2 linked regions of the Pelodiscus sinensis genome follow. The protein of the gene in region 1 interacts with the protein of each later gene in a pairwise test. Links are inferred from orthologs where the notes say so. Each region holds a gene or a part of one and is shown on either strand. Other genes may lie near its edges. The genes, in order: SETDB2 and ARL14EP.

Evidence for each region.
Region 2: the proteins of SETDB2 (region 1) and ARL14EP interact in binary tests that used the Homo sapiens proteins (3 or more experiments, as listed by UniProt). The two-hybrid records come from large-scale screens. The link is inferred for Pelodiscus sinensis from reciprocal best matches to the Homo sapiens genes SETDB2 and ARL14EP.

The regions. Positions count from the first base shown.
Region 1 is NC_134711.1:289,768,049-289,777,161, forward strand, and holds the start of SETDB2 (histone-lysine N-methyltransferase SETDB2), read left to right. Parts: upstream 1-4,954; 5' UTR 4,955-5,125; intron 5,126-5,132; exon of another isoform or gene 5,133-5,267; intron 5,268-5,273; exon of another isoform or gene 5,274-5,536; intron 5,537-6,136; 5' UTR 6,137-6,457; coding exon 6,458-6,491; intron 6,492-6,822; coding exon 6,823-6,906; intron 6,907-7,232; exon of another isoform or gene 7,233-9,113. UniProt on the Homo sapiens protein: Histone methyltransferase involved in left-right axis specification in early development and mitosis. Specifically trimethylates 'Lys-9' of histone H3 (H3K9me3).
Region 2 is NC_134714.1:95,809,454-95,818,524, reverse strand, and holds the start of ARL14EP (ARL14 effector protein), read right to left. Parts: upstream 4,026-9,071; 5' UTR 3,867-4,025; intron 1-3,866.

The sequences.
Region 1 (9,113 bases):
CGAGTAAATTCCAAAAGACTAGAAGAAAGCTAATTCCGTGAAACTATTTCAAAAGGTTAAATAGGGATGATCCAGTAATTATAGTCTGACACTGATCTTGGACAAGACAATGGTGCACTGAAATGGGATTAGCTTAGTAAAAATTAATTGAATAATGCAATTAAAGCATCTCATCATAGGTTTATGACAAACAATCCTGTCTAACTTTTTTTAAAAGATTAGATTACAGTGTGGTTAATAAAGGCAACAATGTTGACATAAGACTTATTTAAGACATTAGACTTGGTAACACATGACTTTGTGATTAAAAACTTTATATGTAAAATTAATGTCACACAATAAATGGGTTAAAAGTGGCTGATGGATCTCAAAAAATAATTGTAAATGGGAATCATCATTGAACAGGTGTGTTTCTAATGGAGCCCTGCAGGGATGCTCTTAGCCATATGGTATTTGAATATTTTTATTAATTATCTGGAAGAAAACACAAAACTACTACTAATAAAGCTTGCAGATGATATATTGTGGGAGTGGTAAATAATGAACAAGACAGCTCACTGATACTAAGCAATCTGGATTGCTTGTAAAATGGATGCAAGCAAGATTGTTTCATTATAGCTTCATGTAAACATATATACCTAGGAACTAAAAATATAGGCCATGCTTATGGAATGGGGGATTTTATCATGGGAAGCAGTGACTCCAAAAAAGGCTGGGGGTTGTAGTGAATCATCAACTACTGATGAGCCTCCATCACAATGCTCTGGCCAAAAAAAGCTAATGCAATCCCTGTATGCATAAGCAGAGGAGTCTCAGGTAATAGTAAAAATTATTCTCTCTCCGTATTTGGCACTAGTGTAACTGCTGCTTCAATACTCCATTCACTTCTGCTGCCTAAAACTCAAGAAAGATGTTGATAAATCGAAGAGGATTCAGAAGAGAACCATGAGAATGATTGGGGTATAAGAAAAATGATGGACTAAAGGAGATCAAACAATTTAGTTTAACAGACTTGTTTTTAAATGTACAGAATAATACAGCTACATAGACTTTTTAACCACTGAAACTAACCAACGGTGGAACTGAATTCCACATCACTAACAATTTTTAAACTCAAGATGGATTTTTTCTAAAAGATATGCTCTAAGAATTATATTGAAGAAGTTCTATGGCCTCTTACCCAGGTGGTCAGACTAGATGATGACAATGATCCCTTCTGGCCTTGGAATTAAATCACTTATATTTGGATTCCTAATATTACATTTTAGCAATCCATGCAGGCCTGAAAAGAAGCCCAGGCCCATTTTGCTGTTCGCAAGCCATGAAATATATAACCACTATACCAACATACAGATACAAATTCTTCTTAACCTAATCAGGTGAATAGACAATGAAGATAGTATGTAGGAATATGAGAAATTGTATTTATTTCTCAATCTTTTTTCTTCCAAACAAACAATTCTAAGTAGCATCATTCAGAACAAATACAAGCATACAGGCAGTCCCCGGGTTACGTCCAAGATAGGGACTGTAGGTTTGTTCTTAAGTTGAATCTGTATGTAAGTCGGAACTGGCGTCCAGATTCAGCCGCTGCTGAAACTGACCAGCAGCGGCTGAATCAGGACGCCTGGGGCAGAGCAGCTGGGGTGCTGCCGGGTTGGTCCAGTAGCGTCCAGAGCGGCGCTGCAGGACCAACCGGCAGCGCCCCAGCTGCTCTGCCACAGGCGTCTGGAGAAAAGCCTAGTCTGCTGGGGGTGGAGGGGGCGTACTAGCTTACCAGGGAGACGGGGAGACCAGGGAGACGGGGAGCAAAGCCTCTGAGGACGCCAGCAGCGGGACAGCCGCGGGGCGTCTGGGCTGTCCCGCTGCCGGCTTCCCCAAGGCTTTGCAAAGCCGTGGAGGGGCTCGGGCAGCGGGGCAGCCCAGGCGTGCCTGGGCTGCCCCGCTGCCCGAGCCCCTCCGCGGCTTTGCTCCGCGTCTTCCTGGTCTGCAGACCAGGGAGACGTGGAGAAAGCCCTGGAGTACACGGGCGGCAGGACCGCGAGGTCCCGCAGTCCGTGTCCTTCAGGGCGAGCCCCGTTCGTAACTGCGGATCCGACATAAGTCGGATCCGCGTAAGTCGGGGACTGCCTGTACTTAAAAATCAAAGGTGAGAAAAAGTGTTTACACAATGTTTGGATTCTCATGAAATAATCACAATATCCCCAGCATGCAGATTTTTATGGAACAATACATCATGAAAAGAATAAGCAAATGTTTAGTTCTATTCCATGTTAAAATACTCAACTTGGGAGCTAAGTAATAATCACTACCAAAGTGCACATACCAACATAATAAAAATATAGGGAGACATTCCTATAGTTTAAAGGTAAAGCTGTTTTACATATAAGTCAAGTTTAACACTGTACTTTGATATATGACTTTGGTGCAGCAAGTGACTTATCCTGTTATGAAATACATTTGCGGTTAACTATTCCTTAGAATTTCTATTTGCCTGTATACACAGTGGTTTATGTTAAAAGGAAATATTGTCTCATTACCATCAGCTCACATAGTTATATTCTCAGAGCAAAAAAATCATGAAAGGGTTTTTTGAAAATGTAAGCCATTATTTTAAATAAAATTTGTCTTTAAAATATTTGGCCCAGTCTTGTTTGTGGTAACATCAATATTAATAGCCCTTCTCCCTATACATGTCAGTTACTTATCATCCACTACTCATGAACTAACTAGCGAACTTCAAACACGTTCTATAAATTTAAAACAATGAATATGAAGTGGCAGATATTCCACAAAAATTTGATGTCATGTTTCCTGGTTTAGATAGTCATTGAACAAAATTGCGTTCAATGTTTTTTCTTTTTTTCTTGAATATTAATTAAATTACTATCGCAAGGTTGGAGGCAATCAGGCTATTATGTTAGATTTCAGTCTAGAATATAAAATTACTCTGCAAAAAACACAAACATGAACTGCTATATTCCATTTAAACAGGATATCAGTGCTGGAAAAAAAATTGTGAAAAGTGTATTATTATTTTTCAAAAGTATCTTGTAAACTCTGCTTTAAGTTTTCAAATGTCAGATTTTAAAGCTGGTATAAGATCTATAGTAACAGTACCTTTTTAAATAATCTAAATTATTGTAAGAATTTGCATTTCCACACTGCTGCAGCACTATTAGGTGATGCTAAAGCACTCGGAGTCACAAGAGACAGCCTGAGAGGACAACTGAAATAATTCATTTACTGTATTCATTTGTGTAACAGCTAATATTTTAAGTGCCTGCTGCTTATTTACACATGGTAGTTGACCAGAGTGACCCAGCAGACAAATAAGGAGCTCAACAGATTATCTGAATTCTTATAATTACTGGATAGTTTATTTTAAATTGTGTTAAGTTTAAGGAACTTTCTACATCTTAATAGGTCAAATTCTGCAAATGAAATTATTTGCATTAAGTACAATATGTAGGTATCTGATCCCAAGAGATCACAGACATGGAAATGTTTCCCCCGTATCTGCAATGAGACAGTTAAGTACTGCTTGCAGTCTTACCCTGAAGACTACAATTTTGGCCTGTTTTAGCCTTGTAAAACAAAACTAGTCTAAAGTAACACACAGAAGGTGAGAAAGATGAATTGCGCCTCAGCCTGAAGCACAGCTCAGCAGCCAAACCTGGAAATGGTTTTTGAATAACCACCAACCTCAACACTATCTCTCTGCACTACACCTTTTTAAGAGATGCATCCCCTGCCATGTTTCCAGCCTTCAAAAAGGCCAGAGCCTTATTTCACTCTTTACTGACTACAATAACAGAAAACATAACTTTAAGATCTAGCAGCCAGGGTAACAGAAAGCAATGAGGAAGCCCCACAACTCTCAAGCTTCTCTCTCGCTGTAACCTGTGTACTACAACCAGCACCTAACACACCAGGAAGACCGGTCGGCGTCAGGAGTGCAGTACAAAAGGAGACCAAAAAACAGGACTATGTAGCACTTAAAGTGTACTACAAAATGAGACCAAGGCCGCGCAGCAAAGGGCACCGGGCAGACAATCACGTGCAACAGAAGAAAGGTGCTAGGTTTCGGGCAGCCCCCAACCTCCTGCGGCGCGTTAGAGCACCAGCAGAAACCCGCGTTCCCGCTCCACCGGGCAGACTTTCCACCGCGATGGGAACTAAGAGGCCGGAACCATCCAAGTCTTTGGAAGAAAACAAACCCCTTGAATTAAAAAAACCCAACGCGCCTCCTAGGGGTGAACCCGCCTTGGCCCTCAATCCACCCCCGGGGTTAACCCCCCTCCGCCCGGAATCCCCAGGCTTGTACCCGCCGCGGCCCCCGGGGTTCACCCCCCCTCCGCCCGGAATCCCCAGGCTTGTGCCCGCCGCGGCCCCGGGGTTCACCCCCCCTCAGCCCGGAATCCCCAGGCTTGTGCCCGCCGCGGCCCCGGGGTTCACCCCCCCTCCGCCCGGAATCCCCAGGTTTGTGCCCGCCGCGGCCCCGGGGTTCACCCCCCCTCAGCCCGGAATCCCCAGGCTTGTGCCCGCCGCGGCCCCGGGGTTAACCCCCCCTCAGCCCGGAATCCCCAGGCTTGTGCCCGCCGCGGCCCCGGGGTTCACCCCCCCTCAGCCCGGAATCCCCAGGCTTGTGCCCGCCGCGGCCCCCAATCCGCCCCCGGGGTTAACCAACCCACCCACCCAGCGAGAGGGACCCGGAGCCTAACCCCGCCTCAACAAACTCCGCCCCTTTACCTCACCCAACATGGCGGACGAACCCACCTTAGCCGCCACCGCCGCTCCTCAGGAGCTAGTCCTGATGGCCCGATTTCATTGGCCACCCTACGGCACCACGAAAGGCCACTCGCAGCCAATGAAAAGTGAGGACGGCGCACGAACCGCTAGACCCGTCTAGCTGCCCTTCGGGATAGCCATTGGCTTCCCCTTGCTCCACCCCTGATGCGCGCGCGCCGGCTACTCTGCGCACGCGCAGGCATTCGAGTGCGTCCAATCCTTTCATCGCTTTCGAGCGACACCGGGTTCAAACCCCGCCTCATGGCCGGCGAGCTGTGGTTGCTGATTGGTGACTGAGTGGCGCTAGTTGGGGGAGCCTACGCCTGGCGGCCATGTGAGTCCAACGGAAGGAAGGTCTGGAACGGGGGGGGGGCAGATTCCGCTCCCGAGGCAGAGCCTAGCCACGCCCACAGGAGGGGTGTGGCCCGTTCGGGTAACGGGGCGAGCGAAGGGCTAATGGGTGGTCGCCTGCGAAGGTACCGTGTCCAGCGCCGGGGTTGCCGCGTTCGCTCCGCTGCTAGTGGCTGGGGGGCAGGCCCTGCGGTGCCCGGTCTGTCCCCTCCCCGGCCCCTGCGGGTTTTGGAAACTGATTCTGTGCGGGATCGTTAGCGAGGCAGCGGGATCGGGCCTGGCCCGGGAAGCGGGCTGGAGCTGAACGGGAATATCTCCGCAGTTAACAGCTGGCGGTCTTGCCTAATGTATTTCGTCCCCCTCTCTCCTCCAAAAAACAGAACCGGAAAATGCAGTTGGGTCAAACCTAGCTGTGATTATTGAAATTTTCTTTCTTTGGCTAGATTGCAAATCTGTGCCAGATCTTTTGGAGTAGTTCTTATTTAAAGAGCATTTCCCCCACACTTTTACAAATCAGTGGTAAACAGACACTCCAACGTGTCCGTATTCCTAGTCCTCAACCTGCAATCAGTCGTACACGTGCTTAAACAAAATACAGGACTATGTAGCACTTTAAAGCCACATTTTAAAGCTACATTTTAAGCACGTGCTTAAGTGAGACGTCTCACATACTACGGTTAAGTCAATGGGCATGCAATCAAGCATTGTGTGCAAGCTTAGATCCTCTTATATTACCGGATATTGGGGTTTGATGGCAAATGCCCAACTTGATTTAAAAAACAACGACAGATCTTTGCTTTCTTTCCTTGGGATAATAGGATCTTAGATAATATCCTTTTAAATATATTTTAAAACTGTTCATTTTAGTGGTAGTGTACTCTTTATTACATTCATGTTTCTGGTCTCTCTCTGGTGGCAAATAATGCTCGTTGCTAGGTCTTGGAAAACAATCACTATAAATTACTTTAAAATTCTTTTTTTTTTTAACTTACAGAGAAATGGAATTTTCTTGGCCCAAAGGAGAATGAAAAGTGGTTTCATGAGACCAAAGGAGGTGCTAAGGTTTTTGGAGAGATAACATTGCAACAATAAAGAATTGTTGGCAACTGAAGATTTGCTTCTTGTTGCTTGAATATTGGTTTTCATTGGAAATTTAACTATGCCCCTCATTCAGCATGGAATCTGGCACTTTCTCTAAGAGCAATATAATAAATTGAGGAATAAGGTTCTAGGACAGCAAGTTCATAATGTTCTATTTTAGCCTGGATTTAGTGCAGTAATGTTCTAACTGTTTTTTGAAGCACAACGTACATGTATGCAACTACTTCAAAGGATGGAAAAAGAAAAAAGTAAGATTTTTTTTTTTAATAAAGCATTTTTAATAGTCATTAAACACCTCTTTTGAGGGAGTTTTATATAACTAAACTGGGTGGGATTGGCCAGCCTTCATGACACAGTTTGACTAAAGCCTCTGAGTTTGTACTGATTTTTTTTTTTTAAAGAATGTATATATCATAGTGGTTTGCTCTTCTCGTGATTTTCCCTGTAAATATCTTCTGAGGCAATGCTCTTTCAAATGCCTATTGTAGTTAAAGCTAGCTGAGTGAAAGCTGTTTGGAGAATCTTGGTAAGAAGCAAAAGGCTGCCAGCATCTAATTTCTATGTAATCTTTTTATCTAGATACCTATAGTGTGCCTGGCACAATAGCATCTGAGTGCCTGGATGTAGAGACCCTTAGCAATGTCGGTGGAGAGAGAAGTGAAGGTGATGTCATCTATATATTTTTCATTATGGGGGACTTAGAGGAGGTGTCAGTAAATGAATAATGCTTGTGGGAATGACAACCTGAAGACTGAAATTGTGTCTACCATTGGATATGTGTAACAAGCAGCTGCAGTGCAAGTTCCCCATTTTAAGCTAGAGAGAGACCACCTTGAGGGCTAAGCGAGCAATTACTAGAGATGTCAACATGTAGATACATGATTAACCAATAAATTTGGGCTTATGGGTTATCTGGTCAACTACATGCATGTTCCCTTCCTCCCCACGCCGCGCCCCCCCCCCCAGCTGCCTCTGTATCGAGGGAGGAGGGATTGGGAGCCGGTGCCCATGAGGAGTTGACCCATGATAGAGAGGCAGCATCACAGAGGGTAAGGGTGGCAGGTGGGAGCTGATACACGCAAAGAGTCTGTTTTCAAGCAGGTGTGCCCTGTGCCTGCTGGCTCTGCAGACCTGCCTGGCCTTCTGCTTGCTGCCTCCTACAACAATCCCTCAAGGAGTAAAAGCATTTTGATTAGTGCAAGCATGTTTCACAGGATTTGTTGTCCGTTAAGAGTGCTGACATAGGACTGTAAGTGTGTGTGTGTGTGTGTGTGTGTGTGTGTGTGTGTTCAAAGGTGGCTATTATGGATGTAATAGTGTAGTTGATTAATCGATTAAGCAATAGCATTATAGGTTAATGCAATAGACTACACACATTTCCCTCCCCCTCCCACCATCTGCCAGTACATTTTTTAGCAGGTTAGCCAGCAGCCCGGCTCAGGCCTGGCTCACAACCAGCCCAGGACCTACCCCCACTGCAGCTCTGCATTTAAAGTATATTAGGAACTGGGTGGGCAGGCAGCCCAGCTCAGTTCCAGCTAATGCTGGGTCTGGGAGCTCAGAACCTCCCTTCCCCCCAACAGGGGCTACTGCCACTTCATTAGAGGCAGCAGCACTGTGAAAGGCAGCCGGTCTGTGAAGGGAGCTAGTTTAAAAAACAATCTCCTCTCATGGACCAGCTCCTGCCTGACACACTGCACTGCTGTCTCTGATCCAGTGGCTGCCAAAAAGAATTCATGAGGTTACTCGACTATTCAATTAACTGATATTTAACATCCTTAGGGCAGGAGTGGCCAACCAGTTAGAGACTAAGAGACAAATAGCTGTGGTTAGAGTGCGAAGAGCCATGTATTATATATTTATTTTTATATATCTATATATAGATATAGTACACAAAATATAGTGATAAAAATAACATTACAAGACATTTTGGACAAAACCAATAAAAAAAAGTCTCCAGTCACTTAAAAAATTCATGGCCGGTCCATAGGCAGAGAACTTGACAAGGAATAAACATCAAATTTAAAAAAAAAAACCTTTAAAAATACAGTAATATTTTCACACTTAAAAAAAAAAAGCATCCCCACCATGTATTTTAAATTTAACACTACTGCCCTACTATGTCCTGTGAGTTTTTTAAAATTAAACTGAACTGAGAAGTAAATTACCAGAATTTGAAGTGCCTGTTTCACTCCAGCTTGTTGATCTCTGGTATGGTTTCCTCTCTATTTAAATAATAATAATAATAATAAATAAAAAAAAAACCTGATGAAGACTATGGTTTTTTTATAGTTCTAAAAATTCAGGTCTGTCCCAGACTGCAAATATGATAGGTTCAAAAACAATAAGGGAGAGACTCATATCTCAGAATAATTGCTTCAGCCTGGCAAACAGTATCCTTTCAATTTTCTTTAAAGAAACACAGTGTAAACGAGTAACATGCTGATTCTTTTTTTGCCCTGGAATTTAAATATGACATCTGTGTTGGCTGCCTTATTCTGCATGTATGAAGACTTTGTGTTTAAAGTGCTTCGGCCCCCCTCCCCGCTCTAACCCAATGCCCCTCTCCTTCCCCCAGAGACAGGAACTCTCAGTCCCCTCCCCTACTCTAACCCAATGCCTGGGTCTTGGAGCTGCCATCACCATGTGTTTCTGTCTCAGGCGCTGGGGTGCATGCACAGAGCAGCCAGCCATGAGCAGTCCGAGCACACAGCTCAGAACCAGCAAGAGCTGCATTTCTTTAAGCAAAGAGCCGCCTGTGGCTCAAGAGCCGCAGGTTGGACACCCCTCCCCTAGGATATTGGTCTTCCTTGTGTTGTCTATCTCTGTGAATACAGGGTTAGAGAGGAGGTATTGTCGGATGGCAAGTA
Region 2 (9,071 bases), on another chromosome or scaffold:
TTCTGAGTTAAAAAAAATCTTGAAACATATCAGGAATCTCAGCAATACTGTTCAGTGCCATTGCAAGTTAAAAACAAACTTGACACTACTGACAAAATATATGAGGCTTTCATGTTAAGAGCAGCAAGTATGTTTTTGTTAGCTATTTTTGAAATGCACTGACTGCCTGATTTCAGACTACAGCCCTCAATCCTATATTTTAAGGAACGTATTTACAATCAAACATAGATTATCTAGATTCCACTCAATTAAAATTCTTGGTCATCTGAAAAGTCAACAGTGAGATCTGATTGAAACTCTTGCCATGAAAAACTCTTAAGGTCTGCATAACAGAAAGTAACTTCATACACTTCAGTTTCTACAATCACCTAAAATGTGGAAGCCAATGGGGACTTAAGAGCTAAGAAAATTTTTATTTCAAATTCTTATGGACGTCACTAGAATTTGTAAGCTCTTATAATCTGTATGTTCATTTGGAAATGTGTATATATCTGAACTAGAGCCATGACACCAGAGAATTAATTTTTACATATTTCAGAAAGTCTTTAAGGTGGCACATTAAACACTAAAATTCATTTGGGCTTAAGCTTTCATGGGCTGGAGTCCACTTCAACTTTTACAGAATGCTCTTGTTCTCCACTATAAATAAATTCCATACATTCAGTAAGTCTTTCCGATATTTTGGATCAAAGTGTTTCATACATAGAAAAAAGACACATCATTTCAACATAACTCCCATTTCTCTATGTATTAGCTTACACTTGTCTTCGGCCTTAGTGGCATCGGAAGATTTTCTGTATTTTTTCTATTATTATTTCTTCATTCATTTTTATAAGGAACATTGTCAAACCAAAATGCAGTCAATTAAAATTTGATCCAGAACCCCTGTCAAATTTTGTGGCTTTACCACCAACTTTCTATTTATTTTCATATATTTTTCTACCCTCCATTGCTTTTTTAAGAGAGCCACAGAAACTGGCCAAAATGACTGATTGGTTTGTTTACCTGCCAATTCTTCATTTATAGTCAGTTTTATGGTTTTGCTTAATATAAACAAACTAGATATTTTCCTCTCTAATATTTTTGAATTATAAGAATTTCAATTTTTACTTTGAGCAATAGAAAGCTATTTCTTCCCCTTTGACAATGTGCCTTTAAAGCTTTAAGTCTTATAGCTGGTATATAAATTTTTGACTTTTTGTTTTCAGAACTTACCATCTGAGAATATAACAAGTCAGATTTATCAGGGTTTGCTTTGGAGCATACCAGTGTTCCCTCTAAGCTGCTGGGCAACAATCAGCCCAGCCCAGTCAGAGAGACTCCTGGCTCTTTGCTAAGCAGGCTGATTAATCACCTGTGAAGCTGTACTGCCCCACAGCTTAGAGGGAGCACTGGAACTGAAATGATTATTTTAAGTATATTAAGATTTCCAACATTTTTCAAGCTTTATTTTGCTAGTGATTTCACTTATCCAAAATAATTGCTAGATAAGTACTTATATTTTAATCTTATGCTTCAAAAATTACATTTTAGAGTATAATCCATACAGGACCATACAAATAATTACATTCAATATAAAACATTTCTTTCAACAGCCTTTACCAAAAATGTGTTTTGGGTAAAATTATAATAGACAAGGAATGATTCTGGCAATGGTGTAAGCTGTATACTTATAGTCTGGGTCTGAGTATGTGCAAGAGAGAAAAAACGTTTGTTTTATCCTTCACTACATGTATATTTCTGAATGATTCCTTTCTCTCCTAGATAAAAGGTGAAACAAGCTCCCAGTTTTGCAGATACATTCAAAAGTTGAAAAATTGAAAGACGAATTTAAAATAAGATTAGTAAAAGTACTTGTTATTTGCCTGCATCTATTTTCCTTAAAAACAAAACTGCCAGACAGTTTTTCAATTGCTATTTTTGGGCACCTGCACTAATTAGACACCTGCACTAATGTAAAATTGCAGTACCTGAAGTTCCACCTGTGATCTGCTTTGAGAAAGCACCATTTCTATGGGACACCACTGTGCATTCAACAATAAAACAAAGTTTATAGGTCAGTAAGTTTATAATTTTCCTTTGATTTACATGTGCATGCTTGGCAGACACTAAAAGGATGTTAAATATCAAATAGTCGAATTTCCATCAATTACTCGATAAGGCACTTCCACATTCCTATTTGAAATGTACAAGAGCCCCAGCTGGGGCTCCAGTACATTTCAAAGAAGGAATGCAGAACTCCACATGCAGCCCAGGGCCAGCGGGAAGTCTCGCTGACTCCAGGCTGCACACGAGTGCCAGCTTTGAAATGTACATCAGTCCCCAGCGGAGGCTCTTGTGCTTTTCAAAGTGGAAGTGCCCTCATGGAGCCTGGCATCAGCGGGGGAATCAGAGTCCCCCACTGACCCTGGGCTCCATGCTGCACTGCTGCTTTGAAATGCCACGTGGAGCCCGGGTAAGCTGGGGACTCCCCAGCAGACCACCAGCTCTGCACTGGAACCCCAGCTGACCCCGGGCTCCACACAAATGTCATAGTAGTGTTTCAAATTAGTGCTGCATGGAGCTGACCCTAGACTCCATGTAGCGCTGCCCCTTTGAAATGCCATGGCAGTGTTTCAAACGGGCAGCACTGCACAGCTCAGCCTGGGATCAACTGTGCGGTGCTGCTGCTTTGAAGTACCCTGTTTCTCTCCCCCCCCCTTTGCTGCCTCACACAGCAAGGAGGTGGGGGGAAGGAAGGGGAGGACAGCCAACTAGTCCTTAACATCCTTAGTATACACATAGAAACCAATGGATTTCAAAATTGGAAAAGGTAGAAGTATATTCAATTGTTTTAAACCTAAAACATGCAAAATGAAACCGTTCAAAATTTCACACAGCAAAACCAGATTTTAAAAAAAGATCTTGTATTCACAGCTCCAGGATTTCCGAATCGGAATTTACTGCTTGAACAGATCAAACAAACAAGTCAAAATGATTTGGGATGCAGATGCTCAAGGCACAATAAAGCACTTATGTAAGCCAAGCCAAGAATACTTGAAGGAGCAGTGCTGTGGGAAAGCAGGGAAGCACTGCTGAAAATTGAAGCAAAGGTGGTAGGAAATTAAATACAACTAGACAATAAGACTGTGTTATGAGGAAAAAATGGAAGAACAAACCAGAAGCTGCAACTTTGGGTCTCCCCATTCCCAAATTGGTGCTTTTCATTGCTCATCTATATCCAAACAGTAGCACTAGCTTTAGCCCCCCATTTTTTAAAAATATGTTGGATGTTTTTTATGTGCTTTAGTTTTGAGACAGCATCAGCCACTACTTCTGGCAAGCTTGGAAACAATGGAAATGTGGAAAGCTCCAGCCTATCTTGCTAGATATATCTCAGTACGATACTAGCCAAGTGGAATTATCTTGCACTTGGCTCTTATTTAATAGCCTGAGCAGGAGGTAGGGGGAAATGAGCGGGGTCAGAGTAAACGGGATACAGAGACAACGCGCGGCGCACAGCAAGCTTTATTAGAGACACGCGCACGCAAGCAGCGCTGGGGACAGAGATGTACAGTCACGGGCGGCGAGTCCACACCACAAGGCGGAGAGACCCAAGTTAAACGCGTGGCGGAGAAGGCGAGAGGCCGCTTGGCGCAGCCTGCAGCAGAAGGCAGCGGGGCCGGGGCTAAGCTAACAGCTCTCCGCAGCGCTACGGAGCTCAGGGCGACGAAGGAAGCGGCTGCCCGCCCCTCGCCCCGCCGCAGACCCGGCTACACGCAGGCCGCGAGACAGGGCCGGCCCGGCCCAGCATCGCCTCTGCCCCTCCCCCACCACACACACACACACTTCCGGCCCCTGCGCCCCCTTCAGAGGCCGCCCCGTACCTTGCCGTAGGTTTTCTTCCGCCCTTGTGCCGCCACGGAACCCGGCTCCCGAGGGCCCCCCACCAGAACCGCGGTGCTAGGGGCCGCCATGAACCCTGGCCGCGCACCACAGAGGAGCAGCGAGCGAGGACGCCGGGGCGGCTAGAGCGTCGCACCGCACCACTACCAGAGAGAGAGAGGGTAGGCGCCGCTCACGTGACCGCGAGGCGCAGCCGCGCCTGCGGGTTGCAGCTCGCGACGCTTCCCTTAGCGCCCGGCGGCGGCTCTCGCGCGTGTAGCTCGTCATGGGCCCTGAGAGCAAGTTGCGGGGGGGGGGGGAGCGAGGGGGCGTCTCGTGCCACTCCGCGGGACTCAGGAACCCCGAGTCAGCTGCCGCCCTCCCACCAGTGCTCTGACCCCGGGCGGGAACCTTTTCCGACGGGGGGGCACTGACCTAGGGAAAGAGCAGGCGGGGGCTGCACACGAGCGAGAGGCAACAAAATAAAACACCCCTCGTGATGCGGCCTCCGCACACGCAAGAGCCCATGGAGTGATCCTGTCCCCTGGTGGGGCAGCAGGGGAGCTGGAGCGCCAGCAGGGGCTCCCCAGTGCAGGGGGGGCGGGGCTGAGCCTTGGGGGCTGGATCCAGGCAAGCGGGGAGCTCCTCATTAGAGCTGTTCTATAGCCTGACATGTTTTGGGTTCCAAATCTGAACTCCAAAGTGTATACAAAGTGTACCCCAAACGGTGTGTCAGTGAATACACTGTAAAAAGTCATTTTGAAAGGAAGCAAAACATTCCATTCCAAATAAGGTCACTCCTGCATGTTTCTGAATGGATCATCTCCATGGGACAAAATAATAACACGATACTGTGTGTGTAATTTGCTACTCTCCTTTCTTCCTTTGGTCAGGATCCTGAAATCTACCATCTCATGATCACTGCTTCCCAGGTTGTCACCCACCTCTACTTCCCCTACTAGTTCCTCCCTGTTTGTGAGCAGTAGGTCAAGATGCACATGGCCCCTGGTCGGTTCCTTCAGCATTTGTACCAAGAAGTTATCCCCAATATTCTCCAAAAACTTCCAGGATTGTCTGTGTACTGCTGTATTGGTTTCCCAACAGATTTCAGGGTGATTAAAGTCACCCATGAGAACAAGGGCCTGTGATCTGGAAGCTTCACTCAGTTGTCCAAAGAAAGCTTCGTCTACCTCATCCACCTGATCTGGCAGTCTATAGCAGATACCAACCACAACATCACCCCTGTTGCTTCCACTCTAAATTTAACCCATAAACTCTCAACAGTCTTTTCTCCCTCTAAATACTGGAGCTCCGGGCAATCATAGTGCTCTCTTACATACAATGCAACTCCTCTTCCTTTTCTCCCCCTCCTGTTCTTCCTGAACAGTTTATACCCTTCCATGACAGTGCTCCAGTCATGCCAGTCATCCCACCAAGTCTCCATTATTCCAATCAAATCATAGTCCTTTAACTGGACCACGGGTTCTAATTCTTCCTGTTTGTTTCCCAGGCTTCTCGCATTGGTGTACAAACACCATAGATAACTAGTTGATTGCCCTACCTTCTCCATCCGAATCAGGGGTCCTCCTTTGTTGCTCATTCCTCCTTGTGATTCTTCCTGGTGTCTGACTTCCTCACTTACGTCAGGGCTTTGGTGAACATCCCCCAATTAACCTAGTTGAAAGCCCTCCTCACTAGGTTTGCAAACCTGCCCGTGAAGATGCTCTTTCCTCTCTTGGGCTATGTCTACACTGACGGGTTATTGTGCAACAATGGCTGTTCTTCTGCAGAGCATCAACACTGCCCACCCACTCTTGCAGAAGAAGATTTACAGTAAAGCGTGGTAAGAGAGGGCTTCTTGTGCAAGAGCTACGCTCTTTTCTAACAGGTGTAAGCTCTCATCCACAAGAGTGCAGTGTGGATGCGTGGCAGGGGTTTCTTGCACAAGAAAGCCCAATGGCTAAAATGGCTATCAGAGGTTTCTTGCACAAGAGAGTGTCCACACTGCCATGGATACTCTTGAGCAAAAGCATATCTTGCATATAGCAGTCTGGATGTGTTCTTGCGCAAGAGTTCTTGCACAAGAACCCTTGCGGAAGATGTTCTTGCGTAAGAAGCCACCAGTGTAGACATAGCCTTGGTTAGGTGGATACCATCTCTTCCTAACAATCCTTGTGCCTGGAACAGAGTCCCATGGTCGAATAAACCAAAGTCCTCTCTCCAACACCACCTGTACAACCACGCCTTTACTTCCTCAATTCGACGATCCCTACCCAGACCTTTTCCTTCAACCTGAAGGATGGATGAGAACACCACTTGCACTTCAAATTCCTTGATCCTTCTCCCCTAATGAAATTTTGGCAACATTGATTCATTCTAGTTCCCAATGAGATTTTTTTTACAGTGAAAAACTATTCCACTGGTACATTTTTGACTTACTGTGCAGTGAAGTCATTCCAGTTACACTTTTTTCATATTTACAATTTTGAAAAGTTCTATTTGCCAAGTTTTCCTTTTTTCATTCAATCATTCTGATTGTGGGATGATTGGTTCATGGCACACTATAAAGTATTATGAAATACTTTAGGGAACCAAAGCAATGTGTTCATTTATACATGGTCATGAAATAAACCTTACAACATTGTTATGCCACAACTTTGTCCTATGTGGATACAAAGATGTAGTGGAGACCATTCAAATCTTTTACGTAATTGTTGCTGTTTTATTGGAGACTGTAGATTTCAATTGGAGTAGTCTGTCAACAGTGGTTGTTCAAGATAGATTTAGGGTCAAGCTCAGCTTTTGTTTTTGGAAGATGCAACAAGGTAAACAGCTAAGGTGCTGACACCACCAAACGGTTTAAATTACAGTCAAATGGTATTCACTGGGATTGCTCTAAAGCAGGGCTACTCAACTTTGGAAGCCTCAGGGACCACAATGATACTCACAGCACATGCCAAGAGTCTCAACTTAAGTTTAGTTGCATATACATGCAAATATACATACAAATATATATGCAAATAGCTTCTTTCACACTGATGGGCATGAATACAAAGATTAAGGCAAGACTACACAACATGCAGGTCCCATTGAAGTCAGTTCTGCTGATATTAATAAAATGCAATATTTACCCAATTTCCACGCAAATGACAGCACTTTTAATGAGCAATGACAGTCCAGGAATTTTAACTACTAAAATGCATATCAACTGAAGACCATTATATTGACTCACAGTTGTGGAACATGTTCCCAGTGAAGGCCATGTTCAAAGGATCCCACCTGCGGGCCACCTGGTGAGTAGCCCTAGTCTAGAGTATGAGTCTTCCAGTGACATTTTAAATTCCATCTTCATGTTTGTGGTGGTAGATTGTATTAAAAAGAAACAACAAAAATGGACTAACCATGCATTTTTAATCAGGAAGCTTATAGTACGAATGTTTTAGTTTAAACTCTTGAATGAAACTAATTTGAAAAGAGTTTATTTCTCACTATGGTTACTACTGTATTCTTATCTGTGCCATGTCAAATGAAGATAGGCCAGTATGGGGTTCTCAGGCCTATGAGTGGGAACAAATCACATATGAGACTCAAAGCAAAATACTGCAATTCTTACTTGTGACTAGCTGAGACAACATGATTAACAATAATGCAAAAAATAAAATAACCTGGCCAATTGTTAATGCTGTGTGCAGCTTTTGACTTTATTTTGTTCCCATTGATTTCAGTGGGCATTTTGCCTAAATAATTACCAAATACAAATTATAAAAATACTTCAGTATGAAGAGACACACTTAAGTTCACAGGGGTCACCCTGTCTGGAATAGCTCATGACTGAATGCCAATCTTAGGGCATTTGTTGCTTTTTACGTTTAACTGTCACATCATCGATGGACAGTCGGTGACATCCCTTTCTACTAATCACCAATAAACACTCCACGTATGAGTCTTTGCTCGGGTTAACACCCACTTAGTACATTTATAACCAAAAAGAATATAACATACGTATCTGGGACCCATTGTCCCCTTTGAACCACCCCTGGTAATGAGGCCCACCTGATCGGGGGCCGCTGTCCCTGCTCTCCCTAAACTCAAGTCCATCCTACCAAGTCTCTGGTTTGCATTGGGAGGCCCTCTCCAGTGAACAATTACTCAGGATTTTGTTCCTGGAATGAGCGTAACTCACCCACGTGGACCAGCATTGGACGGTAGGGGGACCCAGGCCCTTCCTCACTCTGGATCCTGGCCCAAGGCCCTAAGAGCAGGGGAGCCAATTCTCTGCTCAGTTGGTAGGGCTGCCGCTCGCAACTCACCAACCCGCGGGGTCGTTTGAATGGAGTCCAGATTACCCTTGCCTTAGGCTGCTTCCTACCACCCACAAAGTCCTCACTGTCCTGTCTACTCGTCGATGATGAAGCCTTCGGTCCCCGGTGTCTCTCCCAGGTGTCTTGTGGCTGGCACAAAGCCCATGAACAGCTGCCACTGTCCCTTGGACCCCCCTTGGTGCTCCAGGGTTAGGCCAAACCATCCAGCTGGCCCTGCTCTGCCTGGCACAGCCTCTCCACCTGGTCCCCTCCCTAAGATGCTGGCCAGTGCCATATAAGCGTCCCTGCCAGGCGGATCCACTCCCTTCAACCTGCGTCGGCTCTCCAACGCCTGTGTGGCTAGCAGCACGGGTGCACGCACCACAGCGATGCAGGATCAGGGCCTTCTCTCTCCAGAATGCTGCCCCTCCCCTCTCCACAGTGCGGGTGTTAAGTGCCGCCTGGCCATGAGGCATGAACGCCCCGTCACGTTAACCTTAGGGCAGGCTTTCTAAAAATAAGGTAGACGTTGCAAACTGGTGATGTGTTCTATAATTAAGTTGCACAAACCCAGTGACAAATTTGAGCTCCTTGATTATACCAGTCTTAACATGGAGTCACAGACAGTTTCCTTATACTCCCCTGTTTATCTTGCTACCCAGACAAACTGGATTTTGTGATAACATAAAATGGTCACACCAAAAATCATATCACATCTGGTTGCTCCCAGTCCCAAGTGACCAGTCACTTAGCAGTTAGTACTCAAGATCTTACACGAAAGACAACATTGATAGCCAAATCAATAGTAATCTAGTATGTTTTATTAGCTAAAAAAAGGAAATGAATTAGAGAGATTAAAGCAGGTAATATATATATATATATATATATATATATATCCACAGGTGG